Linked DNA regions of Tamandua tetradactyla. The protein of the gene in region 1 purifies or fractionates together with the protein of each later gene. This does not show direct contact. Links are inferred from orthologs where the notes say so. Each region holds a gene or a part of one and is shown on either strand. Other genes may lie near its edges. The genes, in order: NUP153, TNPO1, NUP133 and NUP50.

Region 1 (6,999 bases):
CATGGCCTTCTCTCTTTCTGTCTAAATTTCATTATTTTATAAAGGATTCTAGTAATAGGATTAAGACTTACCCTGAATGAGGGGGGTTATGTGTGTCACAACTTAACTGAAGTAATCTCATCAAAAGGTTCACACCCACAAGAATGGATTAGATTTAAGAACATGGTTTTCTGGGGAAATACAGGCTTAAACCATCATAGAGGGTTCCGAAATTGGCTACAAGAAAAGCACAGTGATGGCAAAGGCAAGAGTGAGGTCTTTGGGATAAGGAAGAGAGAAATCATTTCAAATATCAGCTCTGCCACTCATTAGCTCTGTGATTTTTTTCAATTATTTTTTTAATCTCCTTAGTGCCTCAGTTTCCTCATCTGTAAAATGAGTATAATAATTCCTCTCAGGATTGGTAGGATTACCTAAGAATCTCATATAACATTATCATAGGGATTCACACATGATGCTCATCTTGCTGTATCATGAATACCAAATAAGTAAATTCTAGAAATATGAATTTGTAACACAGCTTAGAAAAGGAATACATTCAGGTCAGGAAAGATTAGGTAAACTAGTCAAGCTGTATTCATCACTGCATGTTTATTACAATTAAAAATGGAAGCAATTGGTATTGGTAATAATTGGGTATTGATTGGGTTAAAAAGTTATAGTATATAGAATGTGACTGCTATTTGTTTTCCGTGCTGAGGACAGAGCTGTGGGCAAAAAATCCTTATCTCTTGAAGCTTAAAATCTAGGGGGCAGGGAGGTGGTGCAACAGTGGTTCAGCAGGCAGAGTTCTCGCCTGCCATGCCAGAGACCCAGGTTCGATTCCTAATGCCTGCCCATGCCAAAAAACAACAACAAAATCTAGGGGCAGGGAGGGGGAATGAGTTTCTATTAAAGTATAGTCAATGAAACAACCCAAAATTTAGAACCACTTCTCAGAGTCATCCCAATGTTGTTTAGGCCTAAGGACTCATTGGAATAGAGGTTATTAATGGAAGGAAAAGGATAACCAAAAAAGCAACAGCAGTTCATGGTAAAAAATTTATAAATGTAGCTTACGATTTTGTAACATGAAGTAAAATTATCTCATTTGGTTTAGGAATTCAGTCATCTGTACGAAGTGCTTAATCATAACTATGAAGTAATAAGTATTCCCTTCTTCAAAAACTTGTTAATTTCTGATATGTCTGGGAGGATTTCAAGGACCCCCTCTTATTGCTCCCTGGCAGTTGGTGTTTTTTTTCTTTCAATTTATATATAGTATCTCTTACAGAAATGTAAAAATTTTGTTTGTATGTTTGAATGCAAGCAGAATCTTTAATTTTCCTTAAAGTTTTAAAATCAGAAGAATTTATTATGAACTATGCTACTCCTAGTAGTTTCTAACTGAAGTGCAATCTGTGTTCCAAAAATGTATGAGTTGGTGATTCGTAACTCCAGACTACATTGCAGCACAGAAACAATGTTATTTTAGAATTCCAAACCATGCACAAGAAGTTACTTCATCCCTTAATGAGGCTGATACTATTTCAGGGTAAAATTCTGCAGTGGGAAGTTTTGAATGCAGCTTAGTCCAAAGATAAAACAAATACGCAACAGGGTAAGCAATGGAGAGCAAGGCTGAAGGGGTATGTGGATTTCTCCACAGCTCAAATCCCATCAACCTTCTGAAGTTTCATCCAAGTTTGGCCCAGCTATTTTGCATGTCCCTTCCTTTGAACACTTGAACGTGAAATCTGTTCCACACTTCAAATGATAGCCTCCAAAGAAAGGGGAAAGGGATGAATTTGGACCCTTAGCCAGACCACTGTCCTGTGCTGGAAATTTTGAGTCTGGTAGGGTGAAAAGGGAAAATGGAATGTGGATACATTCATTCTCCTATATATGTATCCCAATTAGAGATTCGAGTTCAGAGTCTCTCTGTGAGTTAGCTTATAAAGAATTACTATACCCTGCTTGTGAAATACCTAGTGAAGGCTTACTATAGAACAAGATTTCAAGTTAGGGGAGGAAAAGCGCCTGAGAGAAAACTATTGACCTTAAGAAAGATGAGGTGCTTCAGGCAGAAGAGCAAACATACCAAGGGGGTGTAGAGGGGAGTTGTAGAAGGGGGCAAGGAGATAGGAGAAGGGGGCAGAGGAGGAAATAAGTTATTTTTTTTTCATATTTGGCAACTTTTTATAGTCTTAGTAATTATGGTCAGAGGTGCCACTGAAAGCCATTTGCTCTGTAAAGTCTATGTCTGTTACAGCATAGTTCCTTTAGGTGCTGAAAGGTAGTACAAGTTCAAAGGTACTGTAAGTTTGGCTTCACAATTTCACTTATGTGATTTATATAATGATAGGAATTGTTGAGGTTGATGGTGGAGATTGTATAAAAATCATGGAGATAATTGTATCTAACAACGTGGCTGATATTAGAATGCTTTCTATGTATTATAAGTAAGGTATTTTACATACATAAATTCTTTATGTATAATCATTTTATTTGTAGATGAGGAAATCGAAGCTTTGAGAGAGAATCAGTAATTTCCCAGAGGTTACACAGCTAGTTTGTAGTGCAAAACTTATAACTGTAATAGATTTGAAACTAAGTCTTTTTGATACCAAAGTTACTTATGTGCTTTGAAATCAATGGTCTCAAAATGAAACATTAAACCTGCATATTTCTTCACAATAGATTTTTTATCTCTAATCATTTGACTGCTTGTCTCAACTTTTATAGAAATGTTTGATTTTAGTCCTGGTGTTGACTGCTCAGCTGTGTCCTTGAACGTGCCACCCAAAATCTATGAACCTGTCTTTTCTGTTGAATAAGGCTGGACCACCTGAGCATCAAGCCATTTCTAACCGTCAACTCCTAGAATCTCGCTACTGTCGTGTGAATTCGGTCTTTGGGCCTAGCTCACTTATTCACTCTTCTAAATAAAATGCCTTTTTATCGGGAACAAATTTTTTTTTTTTTTTTTGCTCAGAATATACCATTTACCTGTTATGTGAGCCCTCCGAGTAATTAATAGCTAATATTTATTGCAGTTCTTCTATGCCAGAAATATAAATTTAATATTTATATATATTAATATAAATATAAATGTCGCAAAAATTTCTCACAACAGTTCTTACGGTGCATTCTAAAGTTCCCATTTTATAAAGGAAGAAGCCAAGGCTGAGAAGGCTCTGATTTAACCAAGGTCAAACAGCTGCTGGACAGTGGCGTATCCAGAATTCCAGCTCTTCAGTGTTTGACAACAAAGCTCTTACCTGTTTAATGGGACATTAATGAAGCTATATATATTTTCAAATTCTGCTTTAGGCCTAAGGTTCATGGACATTGCTTTTTCAACCACAGGCTGTTATTACTTCTTGTAAGATATTAAATTTCTGTCTTTGCTTTTACTGCCTGCTGACTTTCTGCCCGTTTAATCAACTGATGAGGCTCGAGAAATAGAGTGGGAAGGTTGCTGTTTTTATATACATATCCCTCCGGAGTCTAAATTTATAACCTAACCAACTGTAGGAAAAGGCACAGACCCCTCGCTCGGTGCCTGTGCTGCGCTGCATTGATCTCCTTCCCCGCCTTCCGTGCCGACAAGCCGCATTCTTCCGCTGAACTACGTTTCCCAGCGTGCGCCGCGGCCGAGAGCGCGGGCTCTACCAGCGCTTCCTTCCTCCCCGCCTATCGCACAGTCGCAGCGTGATGATGTACAGGCGTCGGGCGCTGACGAATGACGACGTTCTGGCTTGCGACCGCCGCGGCTGCCTTAGCAGCGGCAATCGGCGCAAGAGCGGCGGCGACTGCAGGGACGACGGCGGTGGCGGGGCGGGCGCTGTGCGCAGAGGGGAGGGGTAGGCGGGCGGCGCCGGCGGCCTCAGCTGCGGCAGCGACGGCTAGGGCGGCGGAAGAAGAATTCGTACCGGCCGGCGGGCGAGTTAGGCCTCAACAGCGTGCGGAGCAGCTCGCGCCGTCCTCTACGGGAGATCTCCATAGAGACCGTGACACACACAGAGGCGGGGGTCCGCGGGAGGCTGCCGGACTGGATCTACCTTCTCGGTCTCTGCCGCCGCCACCCCCTCCCCCTCTGCCAGCGCGCACCTTCGCTCCGCTTCTCCTCGAAACCTTGAGGTCCCTGGTGTGCCTATACCTCACCGTGTGGGCAGCGCGGGCGGACATTTGGTCCGGGGCCGGGCGGGGGGGGGCTCTAAGGCCGCCGCCTCTGCCTCTCCCGCCCCCCTTACCCGCCCCGGAGCGGGAAGCGGCGGAGCCTCCGCCATGGCCTCCGGAGCCGGAGGAGTAGGAGGGGGCGGCGGCGGCGGCAAGATCCGGACGCGGCGTTGCCACCAGGGGCCAACCAAGCCTTACTCGCAGGGGCGACAGCAGCACCAGGTAGGCGACCCCGAAACCGCGGTGGCCCAGGCGGGTCGGGGACTCGGCGGGAGTAAACAGGGCGTTGCGGGGCCGCGGTACCCCACACTCGCCGCACGTGGAGCGGACGGGAGGGCCAGAGGAGGCCCCCAGTGAGGCGGCGGGAGCGCAGGCCACTAGGGTGGTGACGGGAAGTGGGTTGAGACAGGCCCGGCCGTGCGGCGCACACGTGTGGCTCGGGCCGCCTCTCCCCTACCCTCTGGGCCAGGGGCTTCCCCCGGCTTGCGCAGGGCGGGAAAGGAAATTTTAGCTCCGCGATGCGCGCGTTTCCTTTTCTTTTTGGCGGGGATTAGGAGTTTGATGGTATTACTCACGGCCTCTTGAGGGAGAAAGGAAAAAAATGTGGCCGGAGGCCTTTACGCGTGCTGTTTTCTTGTCTCCCGCGTTACAGTGTGTCGCGGGAGGGCTCTGCCTCGAGCAGTCTGTCTGCCGGGCACCTGAGGAGGGGGTGCTGGGGGCGCTGTTAACCTGGAAAACAGATTGGCTTCAGCTCAACCCGTTCGTTAATTCACAGTCTTACCCGCCCGTATCTCCTAGCTCTGAGAGCTTGGCTTTTTCTTAACCGTTTTATAGTTACGGTGACACTAGGGCATTTTGAAAGTCCCTCTCCACCCATACGTCTTTTCTCCGCTGCGTGACCCTCCCTCCCCTTTTCTATACCGCCCCCCCCCCCCCGCCTTTTTTATTTTAGAGGCTAGAGTTGGCCATTCGCCACAGTTGACCACGACGCCAATACTGATCTCATGCACAAAATATTTTAATATTATGGGGTGTATTCTAGAAGTTTAGGTACTTTTGACACTCCAGGAATGTTGGTGGTCTTATAATTTAACCACCATGTGTACTTGTGGGTGTTCGAAAGTATGAAAAGGAGTTTAGCTTAATTGTAAATGTCATTTGATTCTAAGAAAGTTCCGTTTTTAAAAGGAGTTTAGTTTAATTATAAATAAGACATTTGATTCTAAGAAAGTTCCGTTTTTAAGTGCTATTTGTTCATGGTGGGGTGGTGGAGCAGGAAAATGTTAAAAATCTATTTAAATAAAGTCACTCATAAAACTAATGACACTAAAGTGGGAAGTGTTTTAAACTTGTTTAAAAAAATAGAATAGGAAGAGTAAAGATATTGTTACATGCTGTTAAGGGTAGACTTCCAAGGTTGTTTTATTCTGGCTGATAATGAATATTGAACAGTTTAACGTATTCTTTCGTTGTGGGGCTAAATTGTATCATTAAAAACCAACGGATATCATTAACAGTAATATTTTAATATTTTTCCATCAGTTGTAACAGAAGTACCACACCAATGCCATTTTAATTATAGGGGACTATAGGGGCTGTGGGAGTTTGCTTTTGGGAGCATGACAATGTTCTAAAATTGATTGTGGTGATGATGAAAGCACAACTCTTATGATGCTGAGAGCCACTCAGTGTATAGGTTGGATAGATTGTATGGTGTTTAAATAAAGCTGCTTTAAAAAACCCTAGATTTTTACAAGTAAGGATTTGAGTTAAATTTTTGAGCAGTGAAAATTGTGGTTTATACATTAAGTCGATTTCTACTAATTGTTAAAAGGCTTGACTGTTAGTTCCCTCCAGATTTTCCCTAAATATTTACAGAAAGTGCCTGTTTTTTTCAGAATTCTTTGTGAAGAACAAGAGTGGTTGGAGACATATTTAAGATTAGCACTCAGGTCACAAGCCTGACCATTTAACCTAAGCCTTTTTTGTAAGAATGGAAGTTGATACACTTGAGTTCTGTTTCTCTTGAAGAGTAAATATCTTCAGGTACTTTTTAGATCCCCTTAAGAGAAAATTACTACATGTATATATTCTTTATATATATATATATATATATATATATATATATAAAAATATAAATATAAAGAATTGTTTTGAATACAGATAGTGGGTGGTCTGGACAAAGTTTGAAAGGCTGGACGTTGCAAAAATTTTATTGCAGGTTTTTTTTTTCCGTTTTAACTTTTTTAAAATTGTATAATGTAACATATGTACAAAATAAAAAAAAAACAATAGTTTTCAAAGCACTGTTCAACACATAGTTACAGGACAGATTCCAGAGTTTGTCGTGGACTACAATACCACCATCTCAGATTTTTCCTTCTAGTTGCTCCAGAACACAGGAAGCTAGAAGGAATAAATATTTTTTTTGTCATCACAATTGACTTTTTTTTTTCTTTGTGAAAAATAATACATATACAAAAAAGCAATAAATTTCAAAGCACAGCACCATTAGTTGTAGAACAGATTTCAGAGTTTGGTGTGGATTATAATTTCACAATTTTAGGTTTTTACTTCTAGTTCCTGTAAGATATTGGAGACTAAAAGAAATATCAATTTAATGATTCAGCAATCATATTCGATTGTTAAGCCCTACCTTCTCTGTATAACTCCACCATCACTTTTGATCTTTCTGTCCCCACTCTTTAGGGGTATTTGGGCTATGGCCATTGTAACTTTTTCATGTTGGAAGGGGCTGGCAATAATATGGGTTAAGGAGAATCACAGTTTAGTTTTTGAGAACATGATACCTTACCATAATGTACCTGTGGATCTAGA
Region 2 (7,281 bases), on another chromosome or scaffold:
AAGAAAATGTTACGGTGTTAGTGAAAAAAGTAGAATACAAAATTATTCATAAAGTCTCAACTGCGTAAAAACTGAACACAGAACAAATAATGGAAGGAAATAATCAAAAGGCTTACAGTAGTTAGCTCTGGTCCTGATATTATGAGTGCTTTTCTACAATTTTCTAAAATAATAATGATGACAATGATTACAATGACAGTCATAATTTATGGAGTGGTTACTACGTGCCAAGCCCAGTTCAAAGAGCTTATTGTATTAACTTACTTAACCCTCAAAACATTATGAACTGAGAAAACTGAGGCTCACTGAGATTGAATAACTTCCCCAAAGTCAAACTGTCAAGGGAGGCGGTGCCATAATTCTTACCCAGGCTGGCTCCAGAGGTCCTATTCCTAACTACTGAGAAGTTTTTTTTTTTTTAAACATTAACCATTAAATTAAAAAAAGGATACATCATTCCAAACCTTGAACTCTTCAACAGTTATCAGTTTTCTCTCAGTTCTAAATTCAAATACTTGCTCCGCCATTGGGTGCCATGTTGGAAGAAGATGTAACTGCCATTCCTGTTTAGGTTCTCTATCTACTCCAGAAAATTCCAAGACATATCTGCAGCCCTATTTCCTATTCCGACATCTCATTTAGCCACTGAAATTCTGGAACTCTAACATTCCTTACCCATTAGACCTACTGACACACTTAAAGGAGCCCTAGTGGGGAGGGCCTGGAGCAACCACGACCGCCTTTTCTCCTACACTAGCCCATACAACTACAAATCAGTTACCACCCTGCAAACTTCCTATCTTCCACCGTCAAGCTCACCCCTCTGCAAACATGCCCACGGGATATCTACCATGGCGCTGGTGGAATGGGACCAACTAGGAAGAGCCTCAACAGCTGGGGAGTTTCCCTTTGTAGAGCCTTTTCAGAAGATTTCCAATCCTTCCCTTTGGGAGACTTCTTTTCCCCCGTCTTTGAAAACCTTATCAGTGAATTTTTTAATTCTCTCAGCAATCTCATCCTTTTACTACCAAACCAAACTGTTTTGGTTTTTTTGGCAGGTAGGTGTCTTTGTGGCACCAAGATATATTCAAGAAATCAATTCCAGTAGGAAATATTCAAAATTAATCACTGGGCAATAAAAATAATTCCTGCTTACTGCTGTGCCCCTTTATGCAGTTTACATCTGAAAAATTTTTTTCATTACATATGTCATTGCTTTCTACATAACCAATTTATTTTCTTAAAAAAAAAGTTTGCTATTTCCAACATGGTTAAGTGCAAGAGATTCTTCTAAATATAGGGCATTTATATTTCAATACACTTCATTTACAGCATTTAGAAAAACTGAGTTCATATGATGGCTTTAATATTATATAAATAAGAAAAAAGTGCAGTTATAAAAACAATGAATGCATTAATAAATGCTGATATTGGAAATATTTACAACCAGTATCATATATTACATTTTAACCAAAACTTTATTCTGCTCATATTATATAATGGTAATACATTTATTTGATTACTTTCCAGTGGAAGCAATTTAATAATACCTTGAATACCTAAGACTTTCAAAGATGTGACCATATTACGCCAATCCAGGGTGGGAGCCTCTTTGGGAAAAAGAAAATGGAGCATTAGGCTCACTTTAAATTATGTGGAATAAAAACTGCATGCCAAATTGTCAAGTGCTTATGCATCACGTATGTTGGGTAGTAAAAAGGAAATCTGTACCTTCAAACTAATACTTCCCTCTTCAAGTTGCAAATTTTCAACTTGGGGCATCCATTCTCCAACAAAACTGGGGTGTGGGGCAAGATGAAAGCAGAAAACGGAATTGCTTCCCAAAAAATGAATCCTCTCCAGCTTCGCTAGCATAACTTCTTTGCCATTCTAATATGAAAGGGTTGATATAATAGCAAAACTTAAACCCAGCAGAAACTTTACCCTAAAATTGAGGTACTTCAGGACAGCCATTTTACAAACCTAACAGGCACTCGGCTATACTGTACATCTTGCATTTAAAAAGCATTTTTTCCTTAGGGGGAAAAAAAAGGTACCACTTATGTACTCATCATTGAAGGTATCACTGCTTCAACGCAGGATTACTAAACTTCTCAATACAACTGCAAGAATCAATTAGTGCACCACCTCCAACTTTAAATTTCTAATTTTAGAATCTACTGATGGACCAACTGATCAGCGTCAAGATAACGGACCTGTATTACAAGCAGTCCTTGTAAAACCCTGCTTTTTTTTCAAAAATCAATCAACAAATAAGACGTAGCCACGCTTCCAGGAGGAAAGCAATTCCCGCAGCCGGGAGCTCCTCGGCAGCTGTTTCCTGCTGCGTGTGGCACGCGCACCAGCGGCGGCAGGAATGCAAACCCCACACGGACCCACGCACAGCCTGTGCAGTCTCCACTATTAAAACCAGGTAACCGCGTCGAGGGCCCCGAGGCCCCCGGGAGGGAGGCCCGCCTGGAGATAGAGGAGCGCGGCGCGGGGCAGGCCGGCGAGGCCCGCGGGCCGGGACAAAGGCTGACCACCGCCGACGGCGGGCCGCCCCCAGGGTCCCCAGGGCCGCGGGAGCAGACGCTCCTCCACCGCCGCCCCTAACGGGCTCCGCGTGCCCTCGGACACCGCAGCGGCCGCCCGCGGCCCGGGCCCCACCGAGGCTCGGCCGGCAGCTGTTGGCCTTCGAACCGCGCCGCCGCCGCCGCCGCCGCCGCCGCCGCCGCCGCCGCCGCCGCCGCCGCCGCCGCCTCCAAACGGCCGGGAGAGCGCTCGGCAGGCAGCCCGGCGCGCCTCCCCCCGCGGCCCCCGAAGCTGGCCTCCGACCCGCCCTCAGCCCGGGCCGCGCTCGCCCACGCCACCTACCCGGTCCCACACCATCCCAGAAGCTCCGGCGCTCGGGCTGTCGGCCGCGGCGGCGCAGCCTCGGGTCCCAGAAATGGCTGCGGAACAAAGGGAACCTGGGCGCGGACGACGGCCGGTCCGATTGGCCGGGGGGCGGAGCCCCGCGGGAACGTGCGCGGCGGTCGCCTTGGCAACGGCGGCGGGGCTGGGAAATCGCCGTCTGGGCCTGCGGGGCCTGCGCCGGGGGAGGCGCGGAGAGGGGGGCGCGGAGGGTTCGCGAGGTGAGGCGTCCGGTGAGGCCGCGGGTGAGGCGCGGGGGCGGCGCAAGCTGAGGCACTGCCTGGGCCTGCGCGGTGAGGCGCGGGGTGGGACAGGCGCGGAGGAAGGCGCTGCGTGGGCCTGCGTGGCCTGCGCGGATGAGGCGCGGGGCAGGGCCAGGCGGGGGGCGGGGCGCGGCGCGGCGCGGCGTGGGCTGAGCGCTGCCTGGGCCTGCGGGGCCTGCGCGGGGATGGGCCTGGGCGGGGCTGAGCGGAGCGCTGCGTGGGCCTGTGGGGCCTAAGCGGTGAGGCGCGGGGCGGGGTGGGGCGGGGCGGGGCGAGGCGCGGCGTGGGGCGGGGCGCGGGCTGAGCGCTGCCTGGGCCTGCGGGGCCTGCGCGGGCATGGGCCTGGGCGGGGCTGAGCGGAGCGCTGCGTGGGCCTGTGGGGCCTAAGCGGTGAGGCGCGGGGCGGGGCGAGGCGCGGCGTGGGGCGGGGCGCGGGCTGAGCGCTGCCTGGACCTGCGGGGCTTGCGCGGGATGGGGTGGGGCGGGGCGCGGCGGGGCGGGACGGGACGGGGCGCGGGCTGAGCGCTGCCGGGACCTGCGGGGCTTGCCCGGGGATGGGGCGGGGCGCGGCGGGGCTTCCGCGGGGATGGGGCGCGGCGGGGCGGGGCGCGGGCTGAGCGCTGCCTAGGCCTGCGGGGCCTGCGGGGCCTGCGCGGTGAGGCTCCTCTGCAGCTCGCGTCCCCGCCGGGGGCTGCCCGCGCCCCTCACGGCCTGCCGCAGCCTCCGGACGCTGCCCTGCGCGGTGGGCCCGCGAGCGTCAAGGCCCGGGAAGTGTGGGCCGGGCGGGGCGCCCACAAGGATGACCCCCACCCCAGACTGCCGTCTAGACCCCAGAAGCGACCCGCACTCCGCCCGTCCTCCGCACGGAACATGCTGCCTCCCGCGCCGCGCCCCAGGGCGGGTGGGGACGAGCAGGCCGGCTGCGGGGAGGCGGGCGGAGGTGGCGGGCCGCTCGGCGTGGAGGCCGCTTCCAGCGTAAGGTGAAGCGACTCTTCCACCTGAGCCGCGCAGCTCCGGTGTGTGCACGTGAGGCCGCAGCTTCCTGCGCGTGGAAGGGAGGCGCTCTTGCCCCCTTCGCGGCCCTCCCGAGAGAGGAGCCAAGTCTTCTCTCTTCCCAGCAGAAAGGGATTCGACGTGGCGAGCGTGGGCGCGCGCTGCTCTTTGAAGCCCGTGGTAACGCGCAGAGGGGCGTGGGCTCGGCCCCCACCCGACGGCGCGCGGACCCCTGCGCCTCGGCCGCCCGCAGGACCCCGGCCCGACCCCGCCCCGCGCCGCGGAGGGCTGCAGCGGTGCTGGGCACCCGCGCTGCCCAGGACGGAAAGCGTTTTCAATTTTCACCTAAAGAGCTTATTTGTTAAGCAACTTCTGAATAATTCTCATTTGCAACGAGTCATTTTGTAGGGACAATTAGTTTAACTTAAATTTACAAGAAAAAGGACCAATATTATCACTAGGAAATTGAACATAGCGAGAAAAAAATATTTTAAATAACTGAAAAATGTCAGATTTCAGTGTTTTCTGAGGTTAATTTGGTAGTAGGCGAATACATTAAAAAGACCCTCCCACAAATAAGAATAGACGACTACGAAAAAAAGTTTAATGTGAACCTTGGGAAATGGTAATTTATTGTATCTGCAGGGTATTACCAACAATAAGTTTATTTATCCAAATACAAACATGACATTTCTGCATTTGGAAAGTTACACTGTGGAAGAGAGCGCATGATCTGTACAAATCAGGGGGGTGTATGGTCTCTGCATTCTAGTTTCCTGAAGAAAAGCAGTAGAAATGCTTTAAAAATGTAGAGGCGTAGCGAATAACTTAAGATGCAAAGAACTACAGACAAGCAGTTAGTAAGGAATTCACATGATTAATAGTTGTGAAATAATTTAAATGAATTTTTTTAAGTTTAGCATATGTGGAACACTTATTGGCCAAAATCTTTTGAAAGGAAAAAAATCGGATTGCCAATTGTGAAATTGAGATTAAATTGAATATCCATTCTTTTATGAAATTGAATTAAAATGCTTTATAAAATAGTTTTGTGTTTAAGAATAAAGATGTTTAGACATGTAGAGTTTATATGTTTCTGCTAGGTTAAATTCAAAACTCGTTTTAAGTAGTGAATCTTTTTACTGTTAACAAGGATTTATTAATATAGCTTATTGTATTTTACTTTTTCAGTTATTTTCTCCTTGCGCAGTTTGCATATGACATAGCAGATATCTGGTAGTTTTTCTCTGTATACCCACATATATACAAAATGCACATGAGATAAAATTTTGAAGAAATTGTTGGTATTTTTAAATAACATGCTGAAATTTAAAATAGTTAAACTTTTCTTTTAACCTCAAAACCTGTTATACATGTGTTTTTAATTTATGTGTTAAAATTTTTTTATTAGGTGAATATCAAAGAATGGTAGATATTACAAAATACAATTTAAGGAAGAAAACAAACCTCAAAGGTTTCACCTAGGAAGAAAAAGATACTCATTCTGTCAGATGTAGCATTGTCAAAAAAGAAAAAAAGCATGAAGTTTGGAGGGCGAGGACCTATGTGCATATGCTGGCTTTACCACTTATGAGCATTGTTGGCCCAGTCTTTTTGAGCTTCGCTTTCCTTGTCTTATGTGGGATTAAATAAGATAAGTATGTAAAGAGCTCATTAGCAGAATGGCAGATAGTTAGAGGGCAATAAATGATTGTATTACTAGATATTAATATACCATATAAAAGAACAAATGTTTTACTGAGAAGGAATGTTTATTGAATAAAAGATAGGTCTGGGAGCCCAAAACATTTTAAATAAATATATTTAATAGGAAAGTGGTGAGTAAGGAAAAACTCAGTGAGAGAAGTGAAATAATCTTTTAAGGTACAGGTAAGCTTCTAAAACAGAATACTTCTGAGAAATATTTTTTCCATTTTATCCTTCTGGAAAGAAATGGGATTTCTTATTCTATTCTTCATAACATTATACAGTTTAAAGAACTGCATTCTCACTGAAATATCTTCAGACTGGCATTAAGGAAAAAAATTTAATTATTTAGAAGGACTTAATCCAAATTTTGGAAGAGTACAGTTTTATGGTCACTATTGAGAAATCTGTAGCTAATCTACAGGTATTTCTCATTCAAGGCAAACCCAATATATATAAAAAAGATAAAGTATTAACTGGGAAAGGTTATCTTTGAACTTCCTATAATTATAATTAATACCTCCTAAGGATAAAAATAAATTTTATTTATGTAAAAGTCTACATAGACTACTGCTTCTGGGAAGATGGAGTGGACACATTTTTCTTTCCACAAAGTGTATCTAAGTCCTTGGACATTACGTGTAAAATAAAAATGAGAAAACTCTGAAAAGTAGAGAGGAAAACAGATCAATTAGGGACTTTGGGACCCAAGGTGGTTAGTTCCCAGGGTTTTCTTTTGCTTCATTTTTACTAGACGTAGAGATGAAGAAGTCAGCCAAAATGGCATAGGCAAAATGCCCGAAAGAAAGCCTACTTTCTCTAGCCTGAGTACTAGAAAGAGCAGAAAACTCTTAGATAAGAACTGCTCTGCTGTGGCCAAACACCACTGGGAAAAAAAAAGGTACCATACTACCCATGCTAGCAAAAGCTTAGTGGAGAGCCTGGACTTACACCCCCACCAGGCTGTAACAAAGCACCCCAGTGATCCTGCCCTGCCCTACCTCTCTCCCCATCCCCAAACCAGGGTGGTGGCAGAGTAGGGAGCCACCTACTCTGGGGATAAAAGTAGGGAGCTGGGACTTTTATCCCCACCAGGCAGTAACGAGACTGCCCGCCCTCCCATCAGTGTATCAACTGAGGTCTTTTGGGGAGCCTGGACTTCTGCTTCCACCCTGCGGTAACAGAGTTCACCATTTTGAATGTCAGCTGAGACTGATGAGCTTGGACTTCTCCCCACAAGCTGGCACAACAAGGTAGCATACCCCACTGCCACTACCCCTGCCAGACCTGTATCATAAAAAGTCAGCAGAAACAAAGTTTAAACAGATTCAAAGCCTCATAACATAATTCCCTAAAAGTTCAGGTTTCAATTGAAAATTCCTCATCATATCCAGAACTAGGA
Region 3 (7,634 bases), on another chromosome or scaffold:
GTCATTCAAAAGCTTCCCAAAAAGAAAAGTCCAGGACCAGATGGCTTCACATGTGAATTCTACCAAACATTCCAGAAAGAATTAGTACCAACTCTGCTCAAACTCTTCAAAATAATCGAAGCGGAGGGAAAGCTACCTAATTCATTCTATGAAGCCAACATCACCCTCATACCAAAACCAGGCAAAGATATTACAAAAAAAGAAAACTACAGACCGATCTCTCTAATGAATATAGATGCAAAAATCCTCAACAAAATTCTAGCAAATCGAATCCAGCAACACATTAAAAGAATTATACATCATGACCAAGTAGGATTCATCCCAGGTATGCAAGGATGGTTCAACATAAGAAAATCAATTAATGTAATACACCATATCAACAAATCAAAGCAGAAAAATCACATGATCATCTCAATTGATGCAGAGAAGGCATTTGACAAGATTCAACATCCTTTCGTGTTGAAAACACTTCAAAGGATAGGAATACAAGGGAACTTCCTTAATATGATAGAGGGAATATATGAAAAACCCACAGCTAATATCATCCTCAATGGGGAAAAATTGAAAACTTTACCCCTAAGATCAGGAACAAGACAAGGATGTCCACTATCACCACCATTATTCAACATCGTGTTGGAGGTTCTAGCCAGAGCAATTAGACAAGAAAAAGAAATACAAGGCATCAAAATTGGAAAGGAAGAAGTAAAACTATCACTGTTTGCAGACGATATGATACTATACGTCGAAAACCCGGAAAAATCCACAACAAAACTACTAGAGCTAATAAATGAGTACAGCAAAGTAGCAGGTTACAAGATTAACATTCAAAAATCTGTAGTGTTTCTATACACTAGCAATGAACAAGCTGAGGGGGATATCAAGAAACGAATTCCATTTATAATTGCAACTAAAAGAATAAAATACTTAGGAATAAATTTAACTAAAGAGACAAAAAACCTATATAAAGAAAACTACAAAAAACTGCTAAAAGAAATCACAGAAGACCTAAATAGATGGAAGGGCATACCGTGTTCATGGATTGGAAGACTAAATATAGTTAAGATGTCAATCCTACCTAAATTGATTTACAGATTCAATGCAATACCAATCAAAATCCCAACAACTTATTTTTCAGAAATAGAAAAACCAATAGGCAAATTTATCTGGAAGGGCAGGGTGCCCCGAATTGCTAAAAGTATCTTGAGGAAAAAAACCAAGCTGGAGGTCTCACGCTGCCTGACTTTAAGGCATATTATGAAGCCACAGTGATCAAAACAGCATGGTACTGGCATAAAGATAGATATATCGACCAATGGAATCGAATAGAGTGCTCAGATATAGACCCTCTCATCTATGGACATTTGATCTTTGATAAGGCAGTCAAGCCAACTCACCTGGGACAGAACAGTCTCTTCAATAAATGGTGCCTAGAGAACTGGATACCCATATGCAAAAGAATGAAAGAGGACCCGTATCTCACACCCTATACAAAAGTTAACTCAAAATGGATCAAAGATCTAAACATTAGGTCTAAGACCATAAAACAGTTAGAGGAAAATGTAGGGAGATATCTTATGAATCTTACAATTGGAGGCGGTTTTATGGACCTTAAACCTAAAGCAAGAGCACTGAAGAAAGAAATAAATAAATGGGAGCTCCTCAAAATTAAACACTTTTGTGCATCAAAGAACTTCATCAAGAAAGTAGAAAAACAGCCTACACAATGGGAGACAATATTTGGAAACGACATATCAGATAAAGGTCTAGTATCCAGAATTTATAAAGAGACTGTTCAACACAACAACAAAAAGACGGCCAATCCAATTACAAAATGGGAAAAAGACTTGAACAGACAGCTCTCAGAAGAGGAAATACAAATGGCCAAAAGGCACATGAAGAGATGCTCAATGTCCCTGGCCATTAGAGAAATGCAAATCAAAACCACAATAAGATATCATCTCACACCCACCAGAATGGCCATTATCAACAAAACAGAAAATGACAAGTGCTGGAGAGGATGCGGAGAAAGAGGCACACTTATCCACTGTTGGTGGGAATGTCAAATGGTGCAACCACTGTGGAAGGCAGTTTGGCGGTTCCTCAAAAAGCTGAATATAGAATTGCCATACGACCCAGCAATACCATTGCTAGGTATCTACTCAGAGGACTTAAGGGCAAAGACACAAACGGACATTTGCACACCAATGTTTATAGCAGCATTATTTACAATTGCAAAGGGATGGAAACAGCCAAAATGTCCATCAACAGACGAGTGGCTAAACAAACTGTGGTATATACATACGATAGAATATTATGCAGCTTGGAAGACAGAATAAACTTATGAAGCATGTAATAACATGGATGGACCTAGAGAACATTATGCTGAATGAGACTAGCCAAAAACTAAAGGACAAATACTGTATGGTCCCACTGATGTGAACCGACATTAGAGAATAAACTTGGAATATGTCATTGGTAACAGAGACCATCAGGAGTTAGAAATAGGGTAAGATAATGGGTAACTGGAGCTGAAGGGATACAGACTGTGCAACAGGACTGGATACAAAAACTCAAAAATGGACAGCACAATACTACCTAATTGTAATGTAATTATGTTAAAACACTGAATGAAGCTGCATCTGAGCTATAGTTTTTTTTGTTCTTTTTGTTTTGTTTTGTTTTTATATATATTTTTTGTATTTTTATTTTTATTTTTTTCTCTATATTATCATTTTATTTCTTTTTCTGTTGTCTTGCTATTTCTTTTTCTAAATCGATGCAAATGTACTAAGAAATGATGATCATACATCTATGTGATGATATTAAGAATTACTGATTGTATATGTAGAATGGAATGATTTCTAAATGTTGTGTTAGTTAATTTTTTTAATTAATGAAAAAAAAATAAAATAAAAATATTATGAATCTATATACAGACAGAAACCAAGGGGGCAAAGAAGAAAGGGATATCTAACTCTGTGGAAGTCTTTCCGGCGGCAGTAGCACTGAATGAAGACTTGATGTGTGGTTAGAGGCTTACCTAGCCAACAGGGGTAAGGAGAGAGGGAAGGCATGCCAAGTGAAAGGAATATGTGCAAATACATTGGAGGGGTGAGATGGAAACTCTTACGTATTTTTTTTTCCGGAAGGAATATGCACTGCAAGTGGAAAGGGAATGAAGTGGAGTCAGACGTACGAGCCAGCAAGAGTTAAATCACAAAGGACCTTGTAAAGGAGCTTGCCAAATTACCTGTGGGCAACAAATGGTCAGCTACTGAAGCAGTTTCATGCCCAAGAACAACATCCAATATACCTTATGTTGGGACCTATATCACATACCCTATAAAAGGCATATTCAAGTCTTAGTCTGTGCCCCCATGGGTGTGAACTCATTTGTAAATAGGACTTTTGAAGATATTATTAATTAAAGTCTGTACACATTTGTGAATAGGATCTTCGAAGATCCCTATTTAGATGAAGAAAAATTGAATCAGGGTGAGACTTACCCTGATGAGTCCATATAAGCAAAGGAAACTTGTATACAGTGGGTAGAGGAATCCAGAAGTCAGAAGATAGAAAACGAAGGAGATTGCCATTTGACAAAGGCAGATATGAAATTCAAGGAACCCCAAGGATTGCCACAAGCAGCACCGGAATACCACAAACAGTATCTGGGAGGAAGCATGGCCTATGGAGATCTCGATTTTGTATTTTTAGCATTAAAAACCATGAGACAATAAATACTCTGTTTAAGTTAACCCATTGTGTGGTATTTGTCATAGCAGTGCTAGCAAAGGAAGACACCTTAGTCCACTAATTTAGCAATGTGGAGGATGGAGTGGAGTAAGAGCAGGCAGAGGCAAAGAAACTCAAAAAGAGATTATTGCTATGGTCTAGGGAAAAGGTGAGTGCGTGAACAGGGCAGAGGTAGTGCAGCTGTGTGAGATGTGCTAGATGTACTCCAGAGCTACAAAGGACCAGGATGTTGTCGTGAAGATAAGTTTGAGGATGACTTTAGGATATAGCCCTTATTTTTACCTTGGACAACTGACCAGTTTACTAAGCTGGAAAATACATGATAGGAGGATGAGAGTCCTAAAAGAAAGCATGAATTCAGTTTTAACAAGTGAATAGTAAGGAGTCTGCAGGATATCCAGGTGAAAATGTCCACTATGAAGTTGACAGATGTCTTTGTTTTTTTTTTTAAATCAGGATCTGCCTTAGAAATATGTATTCGTGGCGTGAATAGTGTGGATGAGACAGTCCAAACAGAAAGAGAAATGACAAAATGGGAAAAGAACAAATAAAATATTGTGTGAAACCTGCGTTAGGTTTACCATCGCCCCTTTCCATTTCTCTGGCTCAGGAAAGATCAGAGGGAGAAGTGGCTTCGCGTCAAGCGGCTAGAGCGTCAACACCGCCTATGTGAGTCGGGAAGGCCCCCTGGTTTTCCAGCTTCATTTCCCTGGAAAGTCAAGACTACTGCTTGGACCAGAAGCTCCGGAGGCGCCAACCCCGCCCATTCTCCTCCAGCGGCTGCAGCTCCGCCCACGCCCCGCGGGTTGTGCGCTGGGCCTGACGTCATCACCGTGCGCTCTCGACCTTCAAGCTCCGCGCGCGCGCCGCGAGCCTGCGCCGCGAGTCTGCCCCTCGGCCGGGAAACCGCGCGCTCCGCCGTCACTCCCTCGCATCATGTTCCCGGGCGTCCCCTCCCCGCGGACCCCTGGTCCAGGGTCCCGAAGGGGCCCGCTCGGCGGAGTCGGGCCGGCCTCCACGCCCCGGGTGCTCAGCAGGAAGGGCCTGACCCTGGGGTCTGGAATGAGCTCTCCTGTGCTCTTCTCACCGGTCGGCCGGCGAAGCTCGCTGAGCTCACGGTAAGTGATTCCTCCCTCGTTGGGTCCGACGAGAGGCAGACTCAGAGGCTTCGGTAGGCCTAGTGGGGGAGTCTCCCGAAGCCTCTGGAAACGTTGGGAGGGAGGTGGGGGCGGGGGTGCCAAATTTTGGGGAAAATAAATATCCGCTACCCTTGCGGGTTATTCCAGCTTCACCTCGATTGACTCGTCATTTGAATCCTCGCTTTGCGCTTTTCGTGGGATTATCTTTGTGCGGAAAGAATCAACAAGCTGGATTTGAATCGGTGCCACTTCCCCTCTTCTTACCAACCCTGTAATGTAGAATAAGTCACTCGTGATTCTCCTCAACTGAAATGGCGCTAATACCTGACCTACAGTCAGTCTCCCTCACTAAGGCCAGAGGACTCGATAAGAAACGCCTGGATGCAGTTGTTAAGTGATGGTGGTAGTAAGGACCTCCTACCCTAGAACGTCATTATGTAATGCCGAACATACTAAGGCATTAGTATCTGCTGATTGGTAATTAAAGGACGTTTAGCTACAAAAGTTCCCTTTGTAGTTAAATTAACAGAGAAAAGACCTTCTACGGTGGGATAAGAATGGTAGTTTTGTAACCAATAAGAAGTGCGAAGCAGCAGTCCATATCACTGGTAAAAGTATGCCTCAACCCACCCATGTTCACAATACTCAGAACTTTAGAAGGTAGGTAACATCTGTTTCTGAGTAGTTTCCTCTGATCCACCCATCAAAAATGAGTTTTCCCTTGCGAGAAATAACGGTATTACTGTGCCTTAAACTTACAGTTATAATGTATTTATACAGTTTTGCAGTATTTTAAAGGAGAAATGAATTTGAAAGAATGCACTGTATCCTTGGCTTTTGCATTTTGAAGAGTGCTCTTAAAAGTGCTGATGCTCTTGTCAGTGTTTTATGTTCCTTTTGAGAGAAGTAAAAGAATAAAAGCCATAGTTTTCTTTTTCAATTCCTTACTATGGTTTTAAAATTTCTTACCTTCTGGTGGCCATTCAAAGAAAAACCTTGTTACAATACTTCTGTTAGGAAATACAGCTCTATATGTGTAACTCCTCGTTAAGTCCTCTTGATAAATTTGAGGGTAACTTTTATATGGTGGCTTTACATTATTATTCTGAATGTGAAGAAGAAAATGAGAAAGGAATGTAATGTCTACTTCTATACCTATTATTAAAGGCTAGGTTAGAGCAGATGGTCATGACTCTGTTTTCTTGTTTGGTTGCACAGAGCTGGTAGATTTCTTAGATTTCAAGAGCTGAACAAGAGCTTAAGTATGACCGACCCCTATGTTTGTAAATGTTTTCAACCATAACATGTGATTAAACTCTGAAATTTTATATGCTAGTTTTTCAAAAATGTTAAGACCCTCAAAATGACTTGCAGTTTGAGAAACACTTATCTAGCCCAATCTTGTTATTTTCTAGATAAGGAATCAGTTATAAAAAGAGGCATGCATTTACTAGAGTATGAGTCTAAAGCCAATTTTCCCCAAATCCCTCCATTTTCAATGAATGATATATTTAATCACACAAGTATACGTAGGTCAGTGTTCTTTCCACTGTCACCTCTCTTCTTGTGTAATAAAGATCTTTTTATTATGAAATTATATATACGAGGTATGATAATGAAAAATTTAAATTATGAGTGCTGTTACAATGTCTCTTTTCTTTAGAGGAACACCTACACGAATGTTCTTACACCACTCTGTAACTGAGACTATGAACTATGATGTGAAAACTTTTGGCTCTTCTCTCCCTGTGAAAGTTATGGAAGCCCTAACATTGGCTGAAGGTTGGTATCATCTTCCCATTTGCCTCAGTTAGCAATTCAAAATGGAATTTAGCCTTTAGGAAAATGCAGATCAAACCCATCCTAAAATAACACTTCATACTCTCTAGAAAGGCATTTATTAAGAAATGGAAAGTAGCATGTGAGGACTGTGAGAAATAGAAACTCTCCTACATTGTCGGTGGGAATATAAAATCAAGCAGCCTGTGGTAAACAGCTTGGCAGTGTCTCAAAAAGTTAAACATCCACTTCTAGGTATATGCCCCAAAAGAACTGAAAGCAGCACCTCAGATATTGGTACGCCAATGGAGATGGTGGCATTATTCACAATAACAAAAGGTATAAGGAACCCAAGTGCCCATCTACAGATGACTGGATAAACAAATGTGCTATATACATTCCTGTAAAAAGTGAAGTTTTGATATGTAGATGAACATGGGTGAATGTTAAAGACATGAAGGACAGATATATGATTTCATTTAAATGAAATAACTAGAATATGCAAATCCATTCATAGAGAAAGAACATCTGTATAGGTAGGGGGCATGTAATCAAGTTATTGCTTATTGGGTGCAAAGTTTCTGTTTGGGGTGATGGAAAAGTTTTGGTAGTGGATAATGGTAATGGTAGCACAACATTGTGAATGTAATTTAAGCCACTGAATTGTTAGATTTGCAAGTGGTTAAAATGGCAAATTTTATATTGTATATATCTTACCACAGTTTTTTTTGTTTTGTTTTAATTTTTTAAGATGGTTTTTTAAAAAATGATGCCTAGGGTTGGCATGTGGATTGAAATTTTTGCTTTCTCTAGTATACCTGAGAGATATACCTAAATGGGGAGATATAGTCAGCTTATTTGACTTTTCAGTATAATTGAGAAGTATCATAAATTTGAGAAGCTGGATGAGTTCATTCTAACACAATCAGATTAAGTCTTTATTAGTTTCAAGTGCTGCAT
Region 4 (7,868 bases), on another chromosome or scaffold:
CTTCCTATCTCAATTCCTTAATATCAGGAACTAAGTGTGATCTGTAGCCTTCCTATTTTTGGGTTGCTTTCTGGTAAATTCAAACAGAGAATGACCCAAACTTCAAGGTACACACCTATTACAAAGGTAAAACAAAGGCCAGAGAACACTTGGAATTCAACAAACATTCTGCAACTTTATTAGGTTAAACTGGGCTTCAATTTTCTGACACAGTTATGACTTGAGCACATGGATAAACTATACAATGGTGGTTCCTGCCATGGAAGGCACGATTACATCATCTTGAACTCACTTTGAATTAGGTAAAATAAGTAAATCAATATATCTGTATATTTACTTACTGAATATGAATATGAAATTACCCAGGTTGACAACCATAAAAATCCTTTAGTTTTCAGGGGTTAGGCAAACTGGAATTTTTGAAAGACAGATTTCAGGAATAAAAATTGGCTAACACCTTCAGACGCTTATTTCATAAAATGAGGGAGAAACAGCCTCACTAAATGGAAGCAGTCAAATCTATCAGCAGTAGATGGCTACATGCAACCGCCACTTTGCTGAGTTATAGGCAGTTTAAAGCTGTCATTTTAGTAAGCACTGAAATCCATCCTATAACGTGCTAGTCAGCTAAAGTGCTATTATACACATAAATCTATTTTTTACTTGCATTAGAAGGGCATCAATTACCTCATGCTACAATGTTTAATTAAGAAGTAAATGCACTATTTCCCCTAACCTATAAGCTGTTGTGTTATTGTCAGAATAAAAGTTGCTATTTTAACTTAAGTCACATTTCAATGTGGAATACATAAAGTCTACCATAACCTCAGCAGTCAATGTCCCTTATACAGTAACAATCTAAAGATTATATATGAGTGAATTAGTAATTATACTTTGCAGTTAAAAACAAAACTTATTCAACTTACAAGAGAGCACTACAACAGTTTGGAATGAATGAGCTTCATGCAGACAGCACCAAATATGAAGATTCACAAGGTACTGTAACCGAGAAGTTAAGATTTACTGAATTATTACATGGGTATTTCTTTTTCACTTTCTAATACAATAGCCAGAAATGCCTGAAATTACTGAACTATAACCTAGCTGCCTTGATTTCTGATGATTGTAAAACTATATAACCTTTTATCTTATAATTGCAAAAACCTTGTGACTGGCCTCATCTATACCTACAATCCTGTTTTTCAACCTGAGAGTGTTACAATCACAAAAGACAGTCCCCTGATGTTTATTAATGAAGGAACCTGAGGCAGCTCAGAACTAACCTAACTCAATTCCTCAACTATCCTACCAGACAGGCTGGATCTACTCAAAATTGGCCTCTCTCATTGGTTATCACAGCCATGCATGGCCCGTTATCTTGTGTGCCGCTACTTCAGCTCATTGTCAGCTCAGCTGAAGCGCAAAGTGTGAGCGATGCAGCTCTTTACCAATTCTGGTTTGTTCTCTAGGGTGTAACATATTATAATGGTCTAATGATATTTTAAGAAAAGACCACTGTGATCTCCACTTTACAGACAAAAAAAAAAAAGTACATCAAATGGCTTTCCACAGGAACTATTATAAAAATCAGGATTAGAATCTCAAGCTCAGGAATCAATGTAACACCCCAAAACACTTGTCAAGGCTGTGATTGTATTTTTGTAGTTTATTTTGCTAGGGATTTGAAACCAAACAGTGTAGTGTAGAAAAGGACAGAACATTAAGTAAGGAAAAAAGGGCAGAGAGCAAGTCTGAGACTATAAGAGACCAATGATGCAAGTTCTGAGAGCACTATGTCTGAGAGGGCTGGTTACCAGAGCACAGGCAAAGTATGTTAGAGCATGGGGAAGGGAGATGGCATGGGAGCTTCAATCCTTCTTTGGAGAGCCAAAGAGAAGGTTAGCAAGATCGGTTCAATTTCCTGAGGTCCAGGAGCAGTTTAAATAAAAAAAAGTGGGGTGGAGAGTACTGTAACCCATACCAAACTTTAAAATCTGTTCTATAACTATGTTATAAAACAAAGTTAAAAAGTGTGTGGAAATTTATTGCCTTTTGTGTAAATGTTATATTTCACAATAAAAAGAATGTTAAATTCCTCCTCAAAAAGGGAGGGTCAGGTTGGGTTCCAGAGTAAGCCTCAAGTAAAGGCAAAAGGACCAAAAACAGCAACCAAAGCCAGTCTTAACATGGTTTTCTGTTCTTAGTAGTAAAATCTCACTAAGAAAAAAAAAAAATTGGCCTCCCTGACATGAGTAGTAGCTTAAACTTTAATCAATCTGTACATACTCAATAATTAGATCACCTCTAATCACATCATCTAGAGCCATTATGCCCATTACCTAAAACCTGCCCATCTTTTCAAACCATAAAACTATCAGTAACTGCAGTTCAAGGAGACGGATTTTAAGGCTGACAGGCTATCTGGTTTCCTGCTTTGTGCTTACCAATAAACTCTCTCTCTCTTTGAAATTAACCCTGTTGTCTCAGGAATTGGTAACTTGATCACATTGGGCAGAGAACACCCACTTTTGATCAATATCACACCCAGCCAGAAAAGAACTCAAAATGTCTAAGAGGATGTCTCTCTCAATGGAGAAAAGGAAAGGTTCCTTCATTTGGCAAATACATGAATGTCTACTTTGTACTAAGAACTATGCTAGGTTCTTGGGATATTAGTGGCTGAAAATGAAACTGGGTGAGGAGAAAGATAAATTGGTAGGTTTGGAGCAGAGATGCTAAAGTTTGTGACTGCCTCTTTTTTGTGGTGCAAGAGGTGAGACTGCCTGCTGTGTGGGCCTGGGAGACAAAAGCAGCTAGGAAGGTTTAAGTGAGGTTTTAGAGTAGTCTCTAAAGGGTGACATATGCTGAAAAAGATAGCTGGGTACCATCAATCTGGGAGTGTGTGTGTGGGGGGGGGGGAGGCCATGCTAGGCATCCAATGTCTGTTGTAAGAGCACGTGGAAAGAACACTGGGCTGGAGGTGAGAGCTGGGCTCTGTCACTCACCAGTGAAGTCATATCCTATTTTTGTGAGGAGTCTATACTCAAAAACACTGACCAGGTTAAGAACAGAGCATACCACTAAAGACCTCCCCCTTCGTCATATGCTGTTAGTCAAAACAGTCTCTGGTTATAGTTTTTCTGCTAGTTTTACACTCAATTCACAATGACAGTGTGAAAGATCTGTTGAAATAAAAATATACAAAATAATACAGCTCCCTGTTGGATATTTCTTTTTACATCTATGCTCAAAAAAAACAAATCTGTCAAAACAGACGTTTCAGATTTCTTGTCCTTAGGGATAGTAAACGTATTGCTAGGGAATAAGCTTGACTTTATCCCTAAATGTCAAATGTAGGGGCTTTTTTTTTTTTTTTACCTTTTATATACATTTAGTAACTAGAGTTCTTGATACAGGGTCAAAAATGGGCTTTTAGGGAGGATTCCTAAACATCCTGAAATTACACTGAAATTGGCCTTCTACATGCCAATTTTTTTGACTTCTCAATATATCTATAAACCTCCTCCTTCCCCAAAAAAGTTTAAAAAACGCTGCTCTAAATATGCAAGTTCCTTTCCTAAAGCAAATTTCCTAATTAGTTAGTAATGGGTCTCACTTCCCATAGTGTCTTATGGTTAATATTCTCCTCTAGCCGTTAAAACAAGGAGAAATGGACAAAATTGCTTTTCATGACTTAACCTATAATGGTTTGAAAATGAAAAACTGAAACCAAAGCACGATAACAGAAGTCCTCCCACTGGATAGTTTAAAAGGATGTTTGCAGATTTCATCTTCCTTGAGTTTGATAAAATCTACAAGGCCCAACACGGAGGCGCCCATGTGAACCACCACAACAGTAAAATAAAAAACCGACGCTAGTTTCTATAACCTGTAAAAGCACGGCTCGCCCAGAAAACCAAACTTAAATACAGCTGATGAGTTATCACTGACGAATTTCTTCATTATTCACTCCTAAGCAACCCACCTCCTCCCCATTTTGTATAACAGCCAACCCCTAAATGGAAACAATGTACAGCCAATCAACGTTTCCTCATTTGCTTCCGCATTGGCCCTATATGAGCTTCTCCCTTCCACCTCCTCGGGGGAGCTTCCTTCTACCTTCTGATCGGGATTCTACCTGATTCCCGAGCCCCTCAATAAAGCTATGATATGCCAAGTTGCATGAAAAGTTATTTTGCCAATCTTAACTAGCTGTGCAATTCTAAGCAAGTTACTTGATCTCTATGGCACCTAAAGCAGAAAATAAAAATAACTGACTGACAATGGGTGGGTCCGTTTACTCTCCATGAACCAGGAGGCTGGAGCAGATGACTTATACACACAGCCCGCTAAACTCCGACATTCCAAGCCTTCACTTATTCCCGCCATGCCCAAGTTCCTGGTAATCGCAGCAGGGCCACGTCTGGTATGTTCCGGAAGGAATTCCATGGTGGTGTGGAGGCTGCCTGACGTGGAATTTTCCTGACTTCACCTCATTACTCGTTTCACCCGGAGAAAGGCCGGTAGTTCCCGCAGGCTTCGGCCTTTCTCTCTCTCATCAGTCCTCCAGCACCCGTCAAAGAAACACCATGCGTCTCGGTCGCGCTCACTGATTGACCATCCTCTCGCGAACTCCTCGCAGGTCCCCAACCCCGTCGTTCCAACTACAGCGACTAAAGCCAGAACCTCCTCAATCGCCGACTGCGACTGCCAAGCAACTAACGCACGCACGGACACGCCGCGAGCGTTGGCCCCTTCCCCCCGGGGGAGAGCGGCGCGCTTGCGCGGGCATGCGTACGCCGCGCGCTCTCCTCCTGGCATGCGCCTTGTGACGCCACTGCCAGTAAAGTAGGCGCTGCCGCCGAACGCTCTGGTGCGCTTGCGCAGTAGTTGGACGCGGGCGTTTCTTTCCTCCTTGTTTTTTCGAATTCGTTAGAGGGGTAGATTGTAGCTACAAGATGGCGGCTTGGAACGTGTTCGCCGCTAGTACCCCAGCAGTTTCTGGCTAAGCCGACAGCTCGTCCCCCTCAATCCCGAGCACAGAGAGACGAGGACCCAAGGGGACATGATATTTGAGAGTCTAAGCTTGCTGATCTCGAAATTCTTCGAGGCTTTCAGCAAACCGGAAGCGACCAAGAGCGCTCGGCTGGGCAACAGCCGCCGCCTCGACCCCAGCGCCGCGACCGCCACCTCGAACCTGCTGGTCTTCGCTTCCCCCACAACATAGCCAGTGCTCTAGCGGCCTCTGGGGAGGTGAGAAGTCCGTACGTGAGGGAATGGCGCCGAGGGCGGGAGCCGGGGTGCAGGTCCAGGATACGGGAGGCCGGTTTGAGAAAGGGGAAATGGACGAGGGAAGAGCACCGGGACTAGACCGGGGTGCAGGGTCCGGCCTACAGACTGTCGCCGGGCGGGGCGGGGCGAGACGGGGAAGCCGGGGAGGGTGGGGCAGGATGACAGCAGCGACGCAGCCGATAGCTGTTTGTGAAGCCGGGACCGGAACCGACTTGCCGGGACCGCGGTGTCCGGCTGAGATAAGACGCACCCCGGCGCGGGGCCCCTGCGGCGCGGCGGAGATGGGAGGCCAGAGTGGGCCTGGGTGTCCCTGTCGTGGCCTTCTCTTTTCAGCACCTTGCTGTACTCTCAGTACTTCATTCCGCGGTTTTCATCTCCCCTCTGTTCTCGTTAGTCCTCTTTCGCCTGGCCTCGCTTTCTTAACTGCCTGTCCGGGCCATCCCTTTACTCGTTTCCATTGAGAAGCAGTCAGAGGTTTAGTTTTTCCCCTGGTGTTTGTCTCCTTTGTCCGCCCCCGGGTTCTTTTCGTCTTCCTCCAAATACCTAACAAATGAATATGGTCATGTTTGTGTTTTTCATCTTGAAATTCAGCCCCAAGGGCTGTGCTGCACCAGGTAGCAGAGGCCACGATATAAACTTATTAGGCACAAATAATGGAAGTTTTCTCCAGTTACTTAGTTTCAGTTTCTTTTCACATTGTTTCATACCTCTAGCAATAGTTTAATCATTTTGTGCATTTTTACCCTTAACAGGTACATCAGACTTAATAGTATCAGGCCTTGTTCAAGATGCTTTACAGAGATTTATGTCTTTTAACAAAACTTGTTTGTTTAATTTAATAACCGTTTATTATTATGTTCCAGGCGCTATTCTGAACTAAACTCTTTTCGTTTAATTTTCAGAAGCGATCTTTCTCATTTTATAGATGGAAAAACCGAGGGATAAAAATTAAGTAACTTAATTAACTCACAGCTATGAAATGTCAAAACCAGGATGCTAGCATCTTGTAGTATTTCTCAACTATGTAATATCTTAGGTTTGCAGTTCAGCAACACATCGAACACCTACTATGAGCCAGGCACTCTCTTTCCTAGCTAGAAGTTAAAAATTCTCCATTTGCGGCTTTTACCTTTTAACTACCCCTCCTTTTTACCCACGGTTAATCTCTAATAGCAATAATGACCATTTCCAGTTCACTTTTTTTCTGTCCAGTGGTTAGTTAGATATTAGGTGTTAGATAGGAGAAGGACAGAAGATTCCACTCAGGCACTTGACCTCTGAATGAGTTGTAAGGGATTATATCTACAGGTACTGTGTTTGTTTTTGTTTGGATGACAGAGGTTAATAGCAAAACTTAGCCATATGTTTTCAGGAAGGCATGATAAAGGATTCCCAGGTAATGGCGGTTGCGAAATATATTTATTTTAGAATCTTTGACTTTAAAATTGTAAAAGAAAAATTCAAAGATTATTAGGATATTATTGAAAGTAGAAAGACCCCATATATAACCACTCTACCAGGGTCGATCTGCAAATGCTGGTGTTTGAATTACATTTTATAGATGCTAGAGAGCAGTAAGTGATGTGTAAATTTGTGAGTGTCTAGTCTGGTATGTTGTGATGTTGAAGGCAGATGAGGGTGGGGAAAGACTATCAAGAAGTCCAAGTAGGTTTCAGAAGCCTTGGCAAGTGTCCAAAAATAAGTGATAAGTTCCTGGCTGACGGGTGTAGCAGAACAAATGGGAAAGTAGTGTGGGTTTTTTTGTTGTGTGTGTGTGTGTGTCTTTAAATGGTTGTAAAGTCTCAGATATTAAGATATCCATAGTAATCATATCTCCAAAAATAAGTGATAAGTTCCTGTCTGACGGGTGTCGCAGAGGAAATGGGAAAGTAGTGTGGGTTTTTTTGTTGTGTGTGTGTGTGTGTGTGTGTGTGTCTTTAAATGGTTGTAAAGTCTCAGATATTAAGATATCCACAGTAATCATATTTTGAACTTAGCTTAACAATATATAATTTGGAGTGGTTAATTGTTCAATCCTATTTCTTATCAGCTATCTCAAGCCTAAAGAAGAGTGCTCATGTTGTGAAGGTATTCCCAGAGCCTTATTAAAATTCTTACCTGAGAATGAACTTTTTTAATGCATCATTTTAAAGAGAATTTCAAATATTAAAAATGTTTTGCCTACGGGACTATAAATGTAATTTGCATAGAATGAGTTAGGTCAGCCCTTAATTGGTTATATATAGTGCTTATATTCCAGACTTTTAAAAATCAGTGTTTCATGAATTTTTCCAAATGGTTGTTTTTGTGTTCAGTAAGAATTCCAGTATTCTTACTGACTTCCACTTAGGAGACTTCTACTGCCTCCTAGCAAAACTCTCTGGTGGATTTGTAATACCAAGATCCTAACAATACTGTCATAAAGTTCTCTTTGAAGGAGTTTCCACTGATATCAGGAATGGTTATATCTTGTTTTTTGCTGTAGTACATTTAAAAACTTATTTTTAAGAGTTATATACACATTGGTGTAGAAAAATGAACTTTTTGTTTTCTACCACTTAGGTTTGAAAAAATGG

The links.
Region 2: the proteins of NUP153 (region 1) and TNPO1 purify together in Homo sapiens (co-immunoprecipitation; 3 studies listed by BioGRID and IntAct, with this or other methods). This does not show direct contact. The link is inferred for Tamandua tetradactyla from reciprocal best matches to the Homo sapiens genes NUP153 and TNPO1.
Region 3: the proteins of NUP153 (region 1) and NUP133 purify together in Homo sapiens (co-immunoprecipitation; 3 studies listed by BioGRID and IntAct, with this or other methods). This does not show direct contact. The link is inferred for Tamandua tetradactyla from reciprocal best matches to the Homo sapiens genes NUP153 and NUP133.
Region 4: the proteins of NUP153 (region 1) and NUP50 purify together in Homo sapiens (affinity purification with mass spectrometry; 8 studies listed by BioGRID and IntAct, counting the BioPlex papers as one, with this or other methods). This does not show direct contact. The link is inferred for Tamandua tetradactyla from reciprocal best matches to the Homo sapiens genes NUP153 and NUP50.

What each region holds. Positions count from the first base shown.
Region 1 is NC_135351.1:20,802,408-20,809,406, reverse strand, and holds the start of NUP153 (nuclear pore complex protein Nup153), read left to right. Parts: upstream 1-3,997; 5' UTR 3,998-4,269; coding exon 4,270-4,383; intron 4,384-6,999. UniProt on the Homo sapiens protein: Component of the nuclear pore complex (NPC), a complex required for the trafficking across the nuclear envelope. Functions as a scaffolding element in the nuclear phase of the NPC essential for normal nucleocytoplasmic transport of proteins and mRNAs.
Region 2 is NC_135347.1:59,848,176-59,855,456, forward strand, and holds the start of TNPO1 (transportin-1), read right to left. Parts: upstream 3,011-7,281; 5' UTR 2,893-3,010; coding exon 2,878-2,892; intron 2,435-2,877; exon of another isoform or gene 2,322-2,434; intron 1-2,321. UniProt on the Homo sapiens protein: Functions in nuclear protein import as nuclear transport receptor. Serves as receptor for nuclear localization signals (NLS) in cargo substrates.
Region 3 is NC_135328.1:153,880,850-153,888,483, reverse strand, and holds the start of NUP133 (nuclear pore complex protein Nup133), read left to right. Parts: upstream 1-4,626; 5' UTR 4,627-4,692; coding exon 4,693-4,874; intron 4,875-6,558; coding exon 6,559-6,677; intron 6,678-7,634. UniProt on the Homo sapiens protein: Involved in poly(A)+ RNA transport. Involved in nephrogenesis.
Region 4 is NC_135333.1:39,470,006-39,477,873, forward strand, and holds the start of NUP50 (nuclear pore complex protein Nup50), read left to right. Parts: upstream 1-4,856; 5' UTR 4,857-5,264; intron 5,265-5,506; exon of another isoform or gene 5,507-5,681; intron 5,682-5,707; exon of another isoform or gene 5,708-6,600; intron 6,601-7,342; exon of another isoform or gene 7,343-7,380; intron 7,381-7,854; 5' UTR 7,855-7,864; coding exon 7,865-7,868. UniProt on the Homo sapiens protein: Component of the nuclear pore complex that has a direct role in nuclear protein import. Actively displaces NLSs from importin-alpha, and facilitates disassembly of the importin-alpha:beta-cargo complex and importin recycling.